Saccharomyces cerevisiae S288C: one gene and its partners. The protein of the gene in region 1 binds, or shares a complex with, the protein of each later gene. Each region holds a gene or a part of one and is shown on either strand. Other genes may lie near its edges. The genes, in order: HHF1, HAT1, HST2 and GCN5. A codon is read from its position in the direction of its gene.

The links.
Region 2: the proteins of HHF1 (region 1) and HAT1 are in contact, whole or in part, in a crystal structure (PDB 4PSX), measured with the Saccharomyces cerevisiae proteins. Residues at the interface, in NP_009563.1 of Saccharomyces cerevisiae: Lys9 (codon at 788), Gly10 (codon at 785), Leu11 (codon at 782), Gly12 (codon at 779), Lys13 (codon at 776), Gly14 (codon at 773), Gly15 (codon at 770), Ala16 (codon at 767), Lys17 (codon at 764), Arg18 (codon at 761), His19 (codon at 758); in NP_015324.1 of Saccharomyces cerevisiae: Tyr37 (codon at 2,211), Asp42 (codon at 2,196), Ser43 (codon at 2,193), Glu44 (codon at 2,190), Ile161 (codon at 1,839), Glu162 (codon at 1,836), Ala163 (codon at 1,833), Ala164 (codon at 1,830), Asn165 (codon at 1,827), Ile167 (codon at 1,821), Asp171 (codon at 1,809), Trp174 (codon at 1,800), Tyr194 (codon at 1,740), Tyr196 (codon at 1,734), Lys216 (codon at 1,674), Ser218 (codon at 1,668), Gln219 (codon at 1,665), Glu255 (codon at 1,557), Asp256 (codon at 1,554), Pro257 (codon at 1,551), Asn258 (codon at 1,548).
Region 3: the proteins of HHF1 (region 1) and HST2 are in contact, whole or in part, in a crystal structure (PDB 1Q1A), measured with the Saccharomyces cerevisiae proteins. Residues at the interface, in NP_009563.1 of Saccharomyces cerevisiae: Lys13 (codon at 776), Gly14 (codon at 773), Gly15 (codon at 770), Ala16 (codon at 767), Lys17 (codon at 764), Arg18 (codon at 761), His19 (codon at 758), Arg20 (codon at 755); in NP_015310.1 of Saccharomyces cerevisiae: Arg45 (codon at 2,432), Tyr52 (codon at 2,411), Glu64 (codon at 2,375), Phe67 (codon at 2,366), His135 (codon at 2,162), Val182 (codon at 2,021), Phe183 (codon at 2,018), Phe184 (codon at 2,015), Gly185 (codon at 2,012), Glu186 (codon at 2,009), Asp187 (codon at 2,006), Leu188 (codon at 2,003), Phe192 (codon at 1,991), Ser193 (codon at 1,988), Ser225 (codon at 1,892), Leu226 (codon at 1,889), Ala227 (codon at 1,886), Val228 (codon at 1,883), Tyr229 (codon at 1,880), Pro230 (codon at 1,877), Ser233 (codon at 1,868), Glu237 (codon at 1,856), Gly253 (codon at 1,808).
Region 4: the proteins of HHF1 (region 1) and GCN5 are in contact, whole or in part, in a crystal structure (PDB 1E6I), measured with the Saccharomyces cerevisiae proteins. Residues at the interface, in NP_009563.1 of Saccharomyces cerevisiae: Ala16 (codon at 767), Lys17 (codon at 764), Arg18 (codon at 761), His19 (codon at 758), Arg20 (codon at 755); in NP_011768.1 of Saccharomyces cerevisiae: Pro351 (codon at 3,958), Phe352 (codon at 3,961), Val356 (codon at 3,973), Val361 (codon at 3,988), Asp363 (codon at 3,994), Tyr364 (codon at 3,997), Phe367 (codon at 4,006), Cys403 (codon at 4,114), Arg404 (codon at 4,117), Met405 (codon at 4,120), Tyr406 (codon at 4,123), Asn407 (codon at 4,126), Gly408 (codon at 4,129), Glu409 (codon at 4,132), Tyr413 (codon at 4,144), Tyr414 (codon at 4,147).

The regions. Positions count from the first base shown.
Region 1 is NC_001134.8:254,873-258,844, forward strand, and holds HHF1 (histone H4), read right to left. Parts: upstream 813-3,972; coding exon 501-812; downstream 1-500. Other genes in the region: HHT1 (histone H3), read left to right, coding at 1,459-1,869; inorganic diphosphatase IPP1, read right to left, coding at 2,240-3,103. UniProt on the Saccharomyces cerevisiae protein: Core component of nucleosome. Nucleosomes wrap and compact DNA into chromatin, limiting DNA accessibility to the cellular machineries which require DNA as a template.
Region 2 is NC_001148.4:552,265-556,923, reverse strand, and holds HAT1 (histone acetyltransferase catalytic subunit HAT1), read right to left. Parts: upstream 2,320-4,659; coding exon 1,195-2,319; downstream 1-1,194. Other genes in the region: citrate (Si)-synthase CIT3, read right to left, coding at 1-547; ESCRT-II subunit protein SNF8, read left to right, coding at 2,596-3,297; ULA1 (Ula1p), read right to left, coding at 3,516-4,659. UniProt on the Saccharomyces cerevisiae protein: Catalytic component of the histone acetylase B (HAT-B) complex. Acetylates 'Lys-12' of free histone H4 in the cytoplasm. The complex is also found in the nucleus, however it is not certain that it modifies histone H4 when packaged in chromatin.
Region 3 is NC_001148.4:524,320-529,026, forward strand, and holds HST2 (histone deacetylase HST2), read right to left. Parts: upstream 2,565-4,707; coding exon 1,491-2,564; downstream 1-1,490. Other genes in the region: SWI1 (Swi1p), read left to right, coding at 1-639; CIP1 (Cip1p), read left to right, coding at 3,228-4,373; mitochondrial 37S ribosomal protein bS16m MRPS16, read right to left, coding at 4,666-4,707. UniProt on the Saccharomyces cerevisiae protein: NAD-dependent histone deacetylase that is involved in nuclear silencing events. Derepresses subtelomeric silencing and increases repression in nucleolar (rDNA) silencing. Its function is negatively regulated by active nuclear export.
Region 4 is NC_001139.9:993,962-998,688, forward strand, and holds GCN5 (histone acetyltransferase GCN5), read left to right. Parts: upstream 1-2,907; coding exon 2,908-4,227; downstream 4,228-4,727. Other genes in the region: NOP19 (Nop19p), read left to right, coding at 1,678-2,268; PUP2 (proteasome core particle subunit alpha 5), read right to left, coding at 4,397-4,727. UniProt on the Saccharomyces cerevisiae protein: Histone acetyltransferase that acetylates histone H2B to form H2BK11ac and H2BK16ac, histone H3 to form H3K9ac, H3K14ac, H3K18ac, H3K23ac, H3K27ac and H3K36ac, with a lower preference histone H4 to form H4K8ac and H4K16ac, and contributes to H2A.Z acetylation.

The DNA of each region.
Region 1 (3,972 bases):
ACCACACACGAAAATCCTGTGATTTTTCATTTTACTTATCATTAATCGAATGTATATCTATTTAATCTGCTTTTCTTGTCTAATAAATATATATGTAAAGTACGCTTTTTGTTGAAATTTTTTAAACCTTTGTTTATTTTTTTTTCTTCATTCCGTAACTCTTCTACCTTCTTTATTTACTTTCTAAAATCCAAATACAAAACATAAAAATAAATAAACACAGAGTAAATTCCCAAATTATTCCATCATTAAAAAATACGAGGCGCGTGTAAGTTACAGACAAGCGATCCCTATTCCATGCAAGTTCGGTAAGTAGCAGAAATAATCAAACTGTTTAAACCCAATTAAAATTAAATTAAATACCCTTTATATGTTTATAATTGTACATATTTCTCCTAAACCCGCTATAATACACTCATATTTGTAGAAGAAAAACCGGGCAGTTGAATACGAATCCCAAATATTTGCTTGTTGTTACCGTTTTCTTAGAATTAGCTAAATTAACCACCGAAACCGTATAAGGTTCTACCTTGTCTCTTCAAAGCATAAACAACATCCAAAGAAGTAACAGTCTTTCTCTTGGCGTGTTCGGTGTAGGTAACAGAGTCTCTGATGACGGATTCCAAGAAGGATTTCAAGACAGCTCTGACTTCTTCGTAGATCAAACCAGAAATACGCTTGACACCACCTCTTCTAGCTAATCTTCTGATAGCTGGCTTAGTAATACCTTGGATGTTATCTCTTAGAATCTTTCTGTGACGCTTGGCACCACCTTTACCTAGACCTTTACCACCTTTACCTCTACCGGACATATTTTACTATATTATATTTGTTGCTTGTTTTTGTTTGTTGCTTTAGTACTATAGAGTACAATAATGCGACGGAAACCATCATATAGAAAAAATATCTCGGTATTTATAGGAAAAAGAATTAGACCTTTTCCACAACCAATTTATCCATCAAATTGGTCTTTACCCAATGAATGGGGAAGGGGGGGTGGCAATTTACCACCGTATTCGCGGGCATTTGCTAAAGTAAACAACTTCGGTTTTTACCACTAACCATTATGGGGAGAAGCGCTCGGAACAGTTTTACTATGTGAAGATGCGAAGTTTTCAGAACGCGGTTTCCAAATTCGGCGGGGAGATACAAAAAAGATTTTTGCTCTCGTTCTCACATTTTCGCATTGTCCCATACATTATCGTTCTCACAATTTCTCACATTTCCTTGCTCTGCACCTTTGCGATCCTGGCCGTAATATCTCTCCTTGACTTTTAGCGTGGAAGATAACGAAATGCCCGGGCGATTTTTCTTTTTGGTACCCTCCACGGCTCCTTGTTGAAATACATATATAAAAGACTGTGTATTCTTCGGGATACATCTCTTTCCTCAACCTTTTATATTCTTTCTTTCTAGTTAATAAGAAAAACATCTAACATAAATATATAAACGCAAACAATGGCCAGAACAAAGCAAACAGCAAGAAAGTCCACTGGTGGTAAGGCCCCAAGAAAGCAATTAGCTTCTAAGGCTGCCAGAAAATCCGCCCCATCTACCGGTGGTGTTAAGAAGCCTCACAGATATAAGCCAGGTACTGTTGCTTTGAGAGAAATCAGAAGATTCCAAAAATCTACTGAACTGTTGATCAGAAAGTTGCCTTTCCAAAGATTGGTCAGAGAAATCGCTCAAGATTTCAAGACCGACTTGAGATTTCAATCTTCTGCCATCGGTGCCTTGCAAGAATCTGTCGAAGCCTACTTAGTCTCTTTATTTGAAGATACCAACTTGGCTGCCATTCACGCCAAGCGTGTCACTATCCAAAAGAAGGATATCAAGTTGGCTAGAAGATTAAGAGGTGAAAGATCATAGTTTGTTGATTGTCATCAGTTTTAGTAAAAAACGAACAAAAACACAATAAAATATAAATCAATATATTTAGGTTTACTGGGTTCTTTAACAGTTGTATAATAGTTATTTTTTATTACAAAAATATAGGTTTTAATAAAAAAAAATAGGGTTCTATTTGTTTTACATTTATTGATTTGTTTTTCCTGGCGATACCCTCGAAAAAAGCCAGGCCTTGTAGGAGGCAAGATTTATGGCTTTCCATGTGGTTAAAGAAAAATTGCAGCAGGAAGATATTCATTCATGAGTCAGTTATATAATCGATATATAGCTACATATTAAACAACTTGAAGCCGCATACGTGGTAGGTGTCTCATTTTCAATTCAAAATATTTTAAACAGAACCGGAGATGAAGAACCACTTGTCAATAGACTTGTCAATTGGAGCATCTGCCTTTGGAGAAGCTGGTGGGATGGCATCAGAGGCAGCCTTGGAGTAGGTTGGGGTGTCAGGCAAAGTAACATTGGTCAAATCAATACCCTTGCTGTCAGAAGACTTACCAGCAATTAATTGTTTCCAGGAGTCATGTGTTTCCTTGATGATATCCAAAGCGTACTTCTTGTTCTTAGCTTCACCGGAGAAGGCAAATTGGTTTTCTGGCTTACCATCTGGGATTTTGTAAATTCTGAACCATTCGTTAGTAGCCCTCAACAGACCTGGGAAGTATTTCTCAACATCCTCAATGTCGTTCAATTTTGGGGCTAATGGATCGTTAATATCAATGGCAATAACTTTCCAATCGGTCTCACCTTCATCCAATAAAGCCATGATACCTAGAGCCTTAACTTGCTTGACTTGACCAGTGTAAGCAATAGTTTCACCAATTTCCAACACATCAATTGGATCGTTGTCACCAACTGCCTTAGTTTCTGGGTGGCTTACGTTTGGGTCTTCCCAAGTTTGTGGGAAAGCACCATAGTTGTGAATGTAACCATGGTGAGGGAAACAGTTTCTAACAAATCTCAACTTGCCCTTCTTGGTGTCTTGGATGATTGGGTTCAAAGTTTCTTCCTTGGTGATTTCTAACTTGGCGTTGGTCCAACGTGGAATTTCAACAACCATGTTGAAAATGTTGTTTTCCTTGTCAGCGTACAAGGGAATGTCGTGGAAGGCAGAAACTGGCTTACCATCCTTTTCGATATAAACTTTGTATTCCAAGGTGTTCTTGGCACCAATTTGTCTGGTAGTGTAGGTCATTAGTAAATTGCGCGGCGGGATATCCTGTTCTATAGACCTAAGGGACAACAAATCAAAATAGATGATTAAGAAAGTAAGTATTCAAAAACAAGTTGTAAATGAACTAACCTTCCTAACTTCGACGCGACCTTAAAACGTCGAAAAAAAACGAGAAAAAGTCATCATGAGACTATCGTATCTAATGACTGTGGCTTCTCCCAACAACCTTAGCGTCTGCGATGACGATATTTTGAAGAACAGTCAAATCCGTTTGAATAGTGCGCCACACAGGGATAATAATAGCACATTGGCATCTCCTTCTGTGAATGAAACACTTCTACCTGGGCTTCAAAGTCCCGCAACCTTTTAGTTACATAAAATTCGGCGGCTAAATCATGATATTATATTGATGGGTAATGTAGCGTTCAGTAAAACGGTTCCTATGTATTACTATCACGTGGGTGGGGAAGACCACATTCTTAGAGAAGAGTAATCATTTTAGCAGATTATTTTTACCTTTTTCAACTCATGAACTCATGTTCAAAGGTACAATATATTACCCTTTCTTCAAAGTATCCGAATGATTTGAACCGCACTCTGAGGGAGCCATCAAATTCTATTGAGCGACTTCGAATCGAACAATCCAATTAAATCAGCCTTTAGCGCCATATTTCTCCTTGTATCCATTGTTTACTTCTCCCTTGTATCTTGTATATGAGAATTATGGGAATAAGATAATTGTTGGGATTCCATTGTTTTCAAAGGCTGTAATATTAGGTACACAGATTATACTAGAAGTTCTTTTCGAGGATATAGGAATCCACAAAAGGAAATCGATAGTTATACATAATAATATTATTGTATCTTACTTCCTTTTATATGTTGTCACT
Region 2 (4,659 bases), on another chromosome or scaffold:
AGTTTGTAGCAAAGAGGGATCCTTTGTTCATTGATGCTAAACCAATTGCAAGTTGGGTCATAGGGTGCATATCTTTGGGTAAACTTGACAAAACTTTCTCTGTATAATGTGGCAATTTCCTTCCACGAATAGCCAATTCTTTCCTGAAAGAAGCAGCTTGCTGGAAAGTTGGCACACCACCTGTCATCAACAGCCATAACATTGATTCTGGCAGGAAATTATCGCCATCAATACCTGTATTAGGTAATCTATTTTGACATTCTTCAATCGTTAAACCTTGAAATTTAATGCCATGTTCGGGATCTAATGATGTTCCTTGCCAAAACATTGACTGATTACCTCTCATCCCACCTAGAACTGATGAAATGGTAATCGGTCCGACAAACGTGCTGCCATAACAGGCCTTCAATTTCTTCACAGCATCTCTTTTCTTAGGTATCACGTTTTCTAATGCTTCCTTGAGAGTCAATGCAGAAGACTTTATAATTGCAGACGAATTGAAGGACCTTCTGCATATATGTGCGCCCGGTAGAAGCCTTTGTACCATTTTGTATTCAATTATTTAGCGGCGTCTATGTATAAATTCTTGATCAAATACGATCTTTTTTTTATGATTAGAATGCTTGACAAGCCAGTCATCTTAAATACATAGGGATGAAAAAGCTTTATCTCCTATTTAAGGTCATCCATTTTCAGTGTGGAGTAAGTCATCAAAACTGCTATTTAGCCGCTTTGCCGATTTCGCTTTAGAACCGCTACCATGGTGTGTCACTTCCCCAATTTTATTTTTCTGTTCAAATTGTTTGCTCATAGAAATATTTATGTTTTTTTGTCTTTCAACTGAATAATATTTCTATTTTCGGAAATCTTAACCAACAAAAAACAATTTTTTATTTTTGTTTAATTTAAAGAAAAAAATTATTTTTATAATTAAAAAAAATTAAAAATAAAAAATATATCATGTGATCTATTTGTGATCACTACCATGATAAGAAATTTTATATCAGTCAAGATAATCTCTTTAATATAACCTGTAATTTAGAATTACGACAACATAACGGCTTCAACCTTTGCATAAGCTTATATTAACTATAGAGACACTTTGATGATCATCTCGATGATGTATTTATAAAAGAATTTCTTATTTCAGGCTTGTTAAACAAATAAATATGTTATTATATATTTAATAAACAGTTAACCTTGAGATTTATTTATCGACTCTATAATACGCCTATAATCATCTTTGACTAAAATAAATGAATTTTGTAAAGCTTCTCTTGCCTTTTCTGGATCAGTTTGATCTAGGGCATCATAATTTTTAATGTACAACCTATTCTTTACCTTTAATTCAAATGATGGAGAATTGTTTAAAAGAAGAAGCATTTCCACAAGACGATTAAACTGTCTTTCTTCCAGTTTTAAAGATTTTCGGCTTGACTCCAAAAACTCATCAGAAAGGTCGGAGTGCTTCTGAAAGACAGCATCATAACCAAGTTTTCGCAGTCTTTGAATATCATTCCTGTCGCGAAGATCGTCAAATGCTTCGTTTGGATCCTCTACAGTAATTTCAGTAATACTTTTGTCTTCTAGCCAAGATTGGATTATAGCCTCATAAAGACAGGATCCGTGGCCTTTATTTTGATAAGGTGGAAAGATCAGAAATTGAGATATTTTGGCTCTGAATTTTTTATCTATATCCTCATCGAAAGATTTTGCTCCAAGGTAGTGCCAATACTTGTAAGTAGTGACGAAACCAATCAATTCTTTTGTTTTCTTGTTCAACAACCAATAGATTTGCCAACTCGGGTCAGTCTCATCTATATAGTTAGCGGCTTCGATAAAAAGTAATGAAAAGATTTGAACACGACGATGCATTCTCCTGGCAAAATCGTCAACCAAACTCGATTTATATACAACAAATTCTTCCCCATTCAACGAATACTCTGATACTTTTTCAAAAACATCAGATAAATTATGTGTTTTTCGTTCTTCTGCAAAGCAATCTACCCATTTAGCTTCATCCCTAACAATTACATCATCCTTTGGTAGAAATGAGAGTAATTTTTTTTCCACGTCTACAATATTGTCGTCTCCTAATTTTGCTGAATACTTGACGTTAACATACGGCTTGAATGTTACTGAATCAAATGCTAGGTGGATGATGAGATCCTTATAGCCGTAGATCTTTTCGGAGTCACCGTAAATTGGATACGTGAATAATGGTGAAAACTGAACAGCGTTTTCTCCAACTATAGAAACTCTTAAGGCTTCGTTGGCGCTTGAAGTCCACGTTTCAGGCTTGAAATCATTGGCAGACATATTCTTGATTCTCACTATAGTTATAGCTTAAGCATAATTTTGCTGAAAACAATTCCAGAAAGATCTATTCCTAACTTCAAGTAGAAATACATAGAAATCTAATAAATTCGTTATTCGAAGACAATATATTTATCACTTATAACGGTGTGCTATTTCAAGAACTTAATCCATCAATTCTGGGATATATTATAACCTTTTGAGGCGATGCAGTAGACCAAAGACTTTACCACGACTTGAAAATGCTTGGCGTAACAGCCAACTTCGAAACTCACTAACATGAAACAGTTTGGACTGGCAGCCTTTGACGAGTTGAAGGATGGAAAGTACAATGACGTAAACAAAACCATACTTGAAAAGCAATCTGTCGAACTAAGGGACCAATTAATGGTATTCCAAGAACGACTGGTAGAATTTGCCAAGAAACACAATAGCGAGCTTCAAGCTTCACCTGAATTCCGCTCAAAATTCATGCATATGTGCTCATCTATTGGGATTGATCCCCTATCTTTATTTGATCGAGATAAGCACTTATTTACAGTGAATGATTTTTATTATGAAGTATGTCTTAAAGTTATAGAAATTTGTCGGCAAACTAAAGATATGAATGGAGGCGTCATTTCTTTTCAAGAGTTGGAGAAGGTGCATTTTCGTAAGCTGAATGTTGGACTCGATGATTTGGAAAAATCTATCGACATGCTAAAGAGCCTAGAGTGTTTTGAGATATTTCAAATTCGCGGCAAAAAGTTTTTACGAAGTGTTCCAAATGAGTTGACATCAGATCAAACAAAGATTTTGGAAATATGCTCAATTCTGGGCTACTCAAGTATCTCTTTATTAAAGGCAAACTTGGGATGGGAGGCTGTTAGGAGTAAATCTGCTCTTGATGAAATGGTCGCTAACGGTTTATTGTGGATTGATTATCAAGGTGGTGCAGAGGCGTTGTATTGGGATCCCTCTTGGATTACGAGGCAACTGTGAGATAGTTGACTTGAACAGGAATGGTGGATGAGCGTTAAGTATTTATCGATGTTGTATTTTATTGAGCACAGTTCTTACCGGTGATCTCTCGTTGTTGTAAACATTCGATATCATATGCATCATAAAAGTTTACATTTAGTCTTTATTTGCATCAACGCAAACCAGGGAAGTACAATAAAATAAGCATTCTATGAACTCGGAGAGCTGACGAAAAAATTTTATATTTTATATGTTGCGGATGAATTATTAATGCCATTATATAAAAATAGGTTATCAATAGGAACGTAATGGTGTGTGATAAGCTTTATAGCCTCTTGAACCACTGCACCTCCAAAAAAGGCCATTACGGAATAGTTATCGTCGACTCGTAAACCAATAAACTCATCTTTATCCTCTGCAGTTACTGCCGGTTGCTCCCAGAATTGGACCATAACTAATGCATCTAAAAGGGCATTCGAGGTGCTAAAAATACCTAACAAGTCACTTTTTGGCGGCAATATTTTCCTGACCTCCCCGTAATGAGAACAAAATGTCTCCAAGACATCCTGTGAAACTATTTTTTTACTGCGAGCCAAACTTTCCTCCACACGAGACTTGTCAAGCTTTGCTTTTACTTCATACAGTTTCTTGAGTCTGATATAATTTTCCGTTGTTGACTCCATATCTGGGAGAGTGCCCGTTAAAGGTTGAAAGCTGAGCTCCCCATTCTCTTTAGCAATATTTTTCAAAGTCAATAATAGTGTGAGAATCTCGTAGTTATAAGTATCATGCCAATCGTTCCCATAATCTGATATTTCCAAATTTCGGAGCAGATCTTCCAGTTCTTTACAACAATCATTTTGAGAGCAGGCCAAGTAAGCATAGCGTTTAGCTTCCACATAATTGGGTTCGTAGATAACATCATTCCCTAAAGGAAGGCAAATTTGGTCTAAAACTTTCTTCATCTGATCAATCGTTATCCTCCCATTATTACCATCCCTTTCAAGTTTTGCAATACACTTCATGAGCAAAACAGTATATGGAATACCAGAAAACGTGGCTGTATCCATTTTACTTAGGTCAAATGTATCTACGTAATTTATTAGTTCAGGCCAAGGGTTCTGTAACCGTAAATCATACTTCTTACTATCTGGGTGTGCTTGCAAAACAAAATGTGTTTCTGAGAGTACCAGATATATATATCCATAAAATCCAGAGACGAAAGTGTTTAGAACAGGCGGAAACTTTGTTCCTCTCTGCCGCCTAATCTCATTTAAATCGAGCATCGCAGTTTGCTCACCAATACAAGTCAAGATCACCACCGAGAAGCGGGTCCAATCATACTGAGGTTGCTGTAACGTCTTTCTAAGGTCATTTTCCTCA
Region 3 (4,707 bases), on another chromosome or scaffold:
CACAACTTGCTAAATGATGTGGTTTCGTTTTTATTTTCTGCCATACCGCTGCAGCAAGTGTTATCGCAATCAGCTGATCCAAGTTTGCTGATCGACCAATTTTCTCCGGTAATTTCTCAGAGTCTAACTAGCATCTTAGTCATTGTACAAAAAATATTGCCGTTATCCAATGAAGTATTTGAAATCAGTGAGAATAATTCAGACAGTAACAGTAACAATAACGGCAACAAAGATTCTAGCTTCAATTTCAACAAGAATTTACCATTTGTGTGGTTGAGCTCTGAAGAAAATATTGGATCTGGACTATTGAAGTTAAGTGAGATAATATTGAATATTAACAATTCCACAAGTAAGAATACTTTGTTACAGCAACAAAATTATTCAAAGGTGCTCCTACCGTCAATTAACATATCCTGTGTTCAGTTAATCAAATGTTTGGTTGAAAAAAGTATTTGTTTTGAAAACTGCCTAAACAACGACCCGGAAATATTAAAAAAAATAGCATCGATTCCAAATTTGTTCCCCACGGATTTAGAAATTTTCCAGTTATTCACTAATCCATCAGTTGATATTCAAATAATAAACCAGTATCAATTACTTTACAATTTAAAAAATGATATCCTAACCAATTTGGAATGATGCGATTTTTTTAAACAATATTCTTTTACTGCTTATTTCTTCCTTGCGCACTATTTTCTTTTTATAAACCTATATAAAATGTTGTAACTAATATAATAGACCTTATGGAAACAATACAGTCGGAAGAGCGCCTTTAGTGCCAAAAGCCCAAATGAACGTATAGCTGCCATGAAGTCACATCTTGGGCGGCTCAACTAAACAATGGTTTTAGTAACTTCCCACTGGTCCCGTCGCGGCTACAAAAATTCCTTGAAATTGTATAAAGGAGTTTATGACTCCATTTCAGGCAGTAAATACAATTCATACACACCACACATACATTCAGAGTTAACGTTCGCTATAATAAAACGGTAGAGAGTCAGATGTGGAGTCAGCGTGGGGGGTGGGGTAACACTCCACCTTTGAAAACGGTGTGACTTCGCCCTTTCGATGGGAGGAGGTAAAGCTCAAATAGGACAGAATCATCCAAGAAAATTTCAAGCTGCCCACAAAGTCAAGATCGCTTCAGAAGCTGTTCGGCGCAGTATTGAGATGAATTGGCTGCATTGACGGTTCGGGAACCCATTCTACTTATCTATATATTCTGAGTACTTATCCAGAAAGAGAAAAAAGTCAGCTGGCGCCGTATTTTTTATCAAACCTAATTGGCTAAAGTAGAATTGCACGTCAGAGCTTACAAATTTTTCGATATCTATAAGGGGGTGGGGGGAAAGAATATGTATGCAATGTCAAACGCGTAGGAAAGCCAAGCTCAATTACGCGTCTCTTTTATTTTTAAACTATCAAATTGCCGCGCATGCTAGATGAATAAGGAAAAAAAAAGGGGGACGGAAAACATTGCAACCAACACATTATTCTTTAGCGGCTTTTTGTGAAGAAGAGGAGTTGCTTGCTCCATCTTCATCGCTGTCATGGCCATTGAGACGCTGTAGCTTCTTATCCTTCTTGTCTGCACTCTCATGTTCAGATTGATCCAAACTCAAATTCTCTAAATCATGTACAATTTCAAGTAATTGCTCTTTAGAGTTATCCCCCATTCCACCTTGGGCCGTAAGTATCTTTTCGAAATCTTCTTGCCAACCTAATTCTTCAACGAGTTGCTCGGCAAACTCATCCGAGTACTGATGAACTATTAAATCTGTAGGCCTCTTGTTAGCTTTAAAATCGCCCACCGTTTCCAAATTGCACAGAACTCTTTTTACCTTTCGAGGAATTTCTTCGGGCAGAGACGCAAAGGGATAAACGGCTAGTGAGGTGCCAACGACGATGACAAGAGGCTGCTGAGGATGTTTTCCAGATGTCGTGATTTTTTCACGAAGCCACTCTGAATCGTTTAACCAAGTTTCCGAAAAGGAATCCGGTAGATCTTCGCCAAAAAAAACTATTGCCGGCTTTACCAGTTCACCGCACACATCACACTTGACAAAATCCTTTATAGGATGCTCTGCCAGCTTGGATTTGAAAACCTGTGGGGGATAAACTTTACCACATCCGATACAATGACAGTGAGCAAAACTGCCATGGGCCTCGATGATCAGATCATCCTTAACACCGGCCTGTCTTTCTAAAGTGTCTATATTCTGGGTATATACTCTCTTCAAAACGTCTTTGTCTTGAAACAATTTCAAAAGATAGTGAAACTTAGAAGGTCTGAAATTTCCGGGATACAACTCTTTAGCCAAAGTGTAAAATGGCAAAGGATCCGATTGGAAAAAATCGACATCGAACACTGCTTCAGGGTACGGCAACTTCAACCTGGCCAAGTTATGGTACAGGCCAGTTCCCGGAGATCGGAAGTCTGGTATCCCACAAGAAGTGGATATCCCGGCACCCACCATAAAGATTACTTTAGCGTTGGGGTTGCTTTTCATATGAGCAGCGATCTTCCTAACCGACATCTCTGTAGAGGCGGTAGAAACAGACATCGAAACACGGAGAGATCGCGGTACGTCTGGTTGGTAGCTCAGTGACGGGCACAGATAGCGACATTTACTGATACAGAGACAGTTACGAAAGATGGAAACACATGCAGAGAATGTGGTCTATTCCTTATTCTTAAGATCGGCGAAGCTAACAGAGTTAATGCTGGGCCATAGCTGGACGGCAGAAAGCACGCAGGCAGGGGGCCTCTGCGTAGGGCGGGAGACGCCTCCGTAAGGAAAACGGCGCGGGAAGGGCGGCTTCTTACTACATTTTTTTGCCACTCCGGAACTCGCGCAGGGGGAAGACATATGCCCACTTTGGGAAATAGAAATGGTCATTTTAAGCTCAAGTGAAGCGAAAAAAGGAGGTATACTCCTTTACGCGTCACCCAATCTGGATAGGCACGTCAAACTCATTAGGTCTCATCAAGAACTAGTGTAGAAATGACGCTTGAACTCCGAACTTTAAACAAAGTTCTGTTTTTGTTTCTGTTTCTGTTTCCTGTTGCTGTCTCTGTTTCTATTTTTTTCGTATAGCTCTATTTCCCTTGTAGATAAACATATATAAGAATGCTATTATAGAAGCGTGTATTTTCCTCCCCCTAGCTTCAACCTGTAATTCCCTTCTTAGTAAAGCGAACTAGAACCAGTTTAATAGGATATAGAATGCTGCTGGAAAGATTGCACAAGAGATTACACGCCGGCTCTTCTAGGCGATCTCAAGAAAATAAGGACAAGAATTGCAAGCCCGAAGACGCGTTGCCCATCCAACCAGAAGCTCAACATCAAACTCAGGACCCTCAGCCGTTGTTAAATTGTGATTACGATGACATGATTGCATTTGACAGAAACTTGTCCACTCCCGTTTTCACTCCGGTAATGACTCCTATAAATAATAGCAGCTCCAATCAGGCGAAAAGCTCGGATGCCTCGTATTTTCCACCTTACCTCAATGCTAATAGAACCAGACAGAATAGCGCCTCTTCGCTGGCGAGTTCCGTTTCCGATTTCGCTCAGAATTTCAAACAACATACCTTTTACAACAATAACGCTCAATTCACTTCGTTCACACCGCAGTTTGTCGGCCTTCTATTAGAAGTTTACCAAAACACGTGCAGCGATCCTACGATAACTCCGTTTGATACTACAAACCCTCCCTCAGGAATATTGAATAGAGTTGCCAAAGCGGCTATACAGCAATCTGAGCTTCAACAATTGGATATCGGATGTGACAGAAATAGCTGGCTTTTAACATTGGTAAGACAGCGCTTGTTGCAAGAGGTCAGAAAAGACGGCTATCTTTCTCGTAACACTTCTTTAACTTCTTTACCCCCACCACCCCCACCACAGTTTTCTGAAATGCTTAGAGTTCCCTCCCCGTTTGTTAACGCAGATATTACCGATCCAATCCCCTTATCAAACACAAACTCGAATCCGAATGTAAGCTCTACTACCAGCCTGACCAACACGTTGAACTGGTATTCCTTACAAAGATCCAACGTCTCAATGAAGAATAGAAATGGCTCGTCCCAGTATATTTCAGAATTACAACCACAACCTATCTTAGCCCGCACAAATTCTAACAATAGTGTTAGCAACAGTAATGCCTTTTCTTTACTCACGCCAACGCCTACAACAGATTCCGCATTTAATTTTAACATAGCTCTGCTATCGAGACAACGTAGCAATATCATATCGTCCCCCTTAGCTAGTACTCGTTTACCTACAGCAAACGTGTCCACTGAAGAATCCTCTATTTTACCAAATGAATCATTGAAGCTAAAAAGAGATTTATTGCGTCTTAAAAGGTAAATAGTGCCGAACAGTCAGGAGCACACAATACATGACCTATAATGACACTATCTTAATGAAATTCTATTACACTTTCTCTTTTCTTCACATTCGATTAAGAATTTAATTTATTCCATTTCAAGTCTCATTCTCCATTTTCTGGTTGGCCATAGATGTATTATTTACAAGTCTGATAGATATAAAAGCGCCAAGTAAAACATATATACAACATATACATATACACCTCGCATCAATTAAAACACGTTCCTTTGCTTTCCTTTCTTTTTCTTTTTTTTTTTTTTTCCGATCTTTTTCACTCCAATGTTTCCATTCTTTCAAATACAACTTTCCTATT
Region 4 (4,727 bases), on another chromosome or scaffold:
CAATTTTACGTCTTCGGCTAGTAATCGGATCAGCGGGAGAAACATCGTACGTACACAAGAGAATACCGAGAGTGTCGATTAATCAACCACGCTCCATGAGGCTTATCCGCATTCTACTTGCATGTTAGCCGGGAAAAGACATAAATCATCTCAATTCTCTAGAATACTCTAGAGATTATGTAAAAGCGTAGCCCCGTAGATGATTAAATAATTTTCGGTTTCTTACCCCGTAACCACGAGTTGCGGTGTTTTTGCTTCTATCGGGGCAATAAGCGGGCGCTGCTTCTCGGGAATGTAAAAACTGTGCTTCCTACCATGAAGTAGTTGGATCTTGAAATGGGTTGGGCCGGAACAATATGCAAGTACTACAATCCTTGTATTCCCATATGATTATATTCCCCTTTGCATAGGCTAGTGTTTTTTTTTTCGTTCTTTTGTTTCTTCCGCTAGGAATAGTAGTGGCGATCTGCAGAAAGACGCTCTAAGGAAAAAGAGAGAATTTCGATCAGTCCCGTACACATTACTCTTGGGAAGTTCAATTCCTTCGGACGTAATCCACATACGAACTTGGCTCTCATCTGTTGTCTTCAAGCTGTTGCGGCCCTCCTCTTTCTCTCTGTTGTACACATTTTTTGACTTTCAAAAATATGCCGCTAAGGAAACATAACCCTTGTGTATGTGAGCTTGTAGCATATGATATAGTGCTCATTGGCATGTGACAAGAATTGCGTATGTAATTGAAGTTTGTAGTGTAATTTACGAAAATAGCCGCCCTTCTTCTTCATTAACGATTATTGAGCGTAATGATATAAGATACAACGGTTTATTTAGGGCTGCATCCATGAAAATACTTTGTAATAGTGAGTCGTCGCCTTGTTTGTTTATTCAATACAATGCAGTGTCTCTATAGTCTCCTCCTTTAGTTTCACTATCTTTTCTAACCGCCGAAGATATACGAGTGTTCTGAACGAAAAACGACCTTTTCAAACATAGAATATAATTGTATATATACATATACATATATGATACGCAGCCACATTCGTAGTATCTTTAAGACACTGCCTTTCAAAAAAGCTTTGGTATTTTGAAAGAAGATCGAAGCCAAGGAACCAGGACTACAATGAATTAGACGCTACAAAGTTTCTTAATTGGAAAACAAGGAGGGACAAGGAGGAGACTTTTACAGTAAACCAGAATGCTCCTTCACTGTTCAGTTATGTAATGTTATTGTTTGGAAGATCTGAAGAGAGGCATTTCCTACAACCTCTTGAATAAAATAGTGGAAGGCATTTACACAAAGAAGCCGTGCCACTTTGGTCCGGATTTTTTTTACCTAAAATCGTCTTAAATTGGCCTGTTCGATAGCTGTCATTTGTTTTAGATATTTATTTCCTAACGTCAGCTTTAGTTACAGTATGTATGTATCAACCTTTTAGTAAGACAATAATGATTGCATGTTTGATCCTGCTTTAAAGGCATTGGAAGTAACCGTAGTGGCCGCTGTTTCTTCTTGACGGCCTGTAATTGACCTGCGACGCGGGCAATTTCTAGCGATGAGATTGGAAAAACTAACGCATAAAAAAGATTTCAAGATTTATAAGATGTTGAAACAAATCCTCTTCTCACATCTACAGTTGATACAGTATACCGTATTATCTTTCCTCGGTAGTGTTCAGAATGAGTAGGGCCAAAGAATTACAAGAGAAGCTCAACTTGCAAGCGAAACTCCAGTCTACTTTCAGTAACAATACTGCTGCAGTTTTGGACTGGCTGAAAGAATCAGATGAAACCGGCATTAGCAATGATACAGAGCGTAACAAACAGTTAAAAGATCACAAGGAGTTGGAGGATGGTAAGAAGGCATTTTTCAAGCTTCCCGTTTTGCAGATTGGATCGGGCCTACACTTCCGCACACAAGATGACGCTTCCGCCAAAGAAGATATACATACGATTGGTGAGTTTATTGAGGGTGATAAAAAGGTAAGTTCGTTGGCAAAGAAAAAGAAAAGAAGTGACCCAGGGTTGCAACGAAATAATATGTACAGGATCACTAAAGATGATACGAAAGCCATGATTGCGCTTAAAAGAAAAATGAGGAAAGGCGAGAAGGAAGGACTAAGGAAGAAACAAGAGCATAGCAAAAGCAGCGTTTCGAACTCATATAGTGCCAGTGATGAAGAGGATGAAGATGCAGGGACAATGCCGCAAAAGTCCACAAAAAAAAAATTTGGTTTACTTTTTGATAAAAAAAAGAAGGCACGTAAATAATCTTAAACACTTATGGGCAGCAAAAAATGCGTCTTTCTTCCCTCGTCTGTTGTTTTATGTAGGGCGTAATGATGTTTGCTTGTCAACAAATGAATACGTACAGAAGAGAATTCTAGCCAAGGCAATTATTGCATACTGCAAGTACTGAGTACGTTAACGTTGCTAGAATAACATTAAATGAGATGTAGCAATGCAGATCCTTCCTCAGTAGGCTTAATGCTCCACTAGAATTTTTGACCAGCCACTATTTGCTTTTTTCGCAATCCTTTTCAATACTCGAGAGCAAAGACAAAAAAAATAAGACATGTAGTGCGCTGTATGGAAAAGAATTAATTAGAACTTTACAAACGCGTGTTAAACAGGCATATTTAAGTGTTTGGACCTAAACAATATATCGACTATTGAAATTCTTACGCAAGATTTTTTATAGTTGGATATTCATATATTCTTACAACTCTCTCTACTTTCAGTTTTTTGAAGCTATATGTATCATTATATACGTTTATGGATTTTTCAAACCTAAACAATTATACTGCGTAAATGTTTGATTAAGCAATAAATAAAAACAAAGGATTGGTAAGGGAAGACCGTGAGCCGCCCAAAAGTCTTCAGTTAACTCAGGTTCGTATTCTACATTAGATGGTCACAAAACATCAGATTGAAGAGGATCACTTGGATGGAGCTACGACGGATCCCGAAGTTAAACGGGTAAAATTAGAAAACAACGTTGAAGAAATACAACCTGAGCAGGCTGAGACCAATAAACAAGAGGGCACCGATAAAGAGAATAAAGGAAAGTTCGAGAAAGAAACTGAGAGAATAGGAGGATCTGAAGTGGTTACAGATGTGGAAAAAGGAATTGTCAAATTTGAATTTGATGGTGTTGAATACACATTCAAAGAGAGACCCAGTGTCGTAGAGGAAAATGAAGGTAAAATTGAGTTTAGGGTGGTGAATAATGATAATACTAAAGAAAACATGATGGTCCTAACTGGATTAAAAAACATTTTTCAAAAGCAATTACCAAAAATGCCCAAAGAATACATTGCCAGGTTAGTCTATGATCGAAGTCATCTTTCCATGGCTGTCATTAGGAAGCCATTGACTGTCGTAGGTGGCATAACATATCGACCTTTCGATAAGAGAGAATTCGCAGAAATTGTTTTCTGTGCCATCAGTTCGACGGAACAGGTACGCGGTTATGGTGCGCATCTAATGAATCACTTAAAAGACTATGTTAGAAATACCTCGAACATAAAATATTTTTTGACATATGCAGATAATTACGCTATTGGATACTTTAAAAAGCAAGGCTTCACTAAAGAAATCACGTTGGATAAAAGTATATGGATGGGATATATTAAAGATTATGAAGGTGGTACGCTGATGCAATGTTCTATGTTACCAAGAATACGATATTTGGACGCAGGTAAGATTCTATTATTACAAGAAGCGGCCCTGCGAAGAAAAATAAGAACGATTTCGAAATCGCATATTGTAAGGCCTGGTTTAGAGCAATTCAAAGACTTAAACAATATCAAACCGATTGATCCAATGACTATTCCTGGCTTGAAAGAAGCCGGCTGGACTCCCGAGATGGATGCGTTGGCACAACGTCCCAAGCGTGGTCCACACGATGCAGCAATACAGAATATACTCACAGAGCTACAAAATCATGCAGCAGCTTGGCCCTTCTTACAACCCGTTAATAAAGAGGAGGTCCCCGACTATTATGATTTTATCAAAGAGCCAATGGACTTGAGCACCATGGAAATAAAATTAGAGAGCAACAAATATCAGAAGATGGAAGACTTCATATATGATGCCAGATTGGTGTTTAACAATTGCCGAATGTACAATGGCGAGAATACGTCGTATTACAAGTATGCTAATAGGCTAGAGAAATTCTTCAATAATAAAGTAAAAGAAATACCTGAATATTCTCACCTTATTGATTAATGCGTAGAAGAAGCTTTTCCGCTACTATTCCTTTCGAAGAAGAAATAAATGTTTAGTACGGCGAGACGATGTGATCAATTGAGGTTATTTTACTACTTTTCCTTTCATTTTTGTAAGGTTTTCTTTCTTTGTTAGTGTGACGTTGGTATTTACCTTTATGTAACTATATTTATGACATTTCAACATCCGCTTCTTCTGGACTTTCTGCAGCTTCTTTCTCTTTCAACTCTTTTATCAATTCAGCAGTTTTTTCGTTATCATATATTTTGAATCCGTCTTGCTTTGTTATACAACTCAATTGCGCGTTATTTTCATCAAGTTTCTCTTCCATCACTTGCTTTAGGATTTTTAGAACAAGAAGCTCAGCTTCTTTCAAAGTTAAAGAAGAATGCCATTCATTCAATAATTCTGCTTGTGCTCCTTCAGAGCCTGAACCAATGGCTTTGGCATTATAACGGTAAAATGTCCCAGATGGTTCTGCATGGAAAAGTTGATAACCA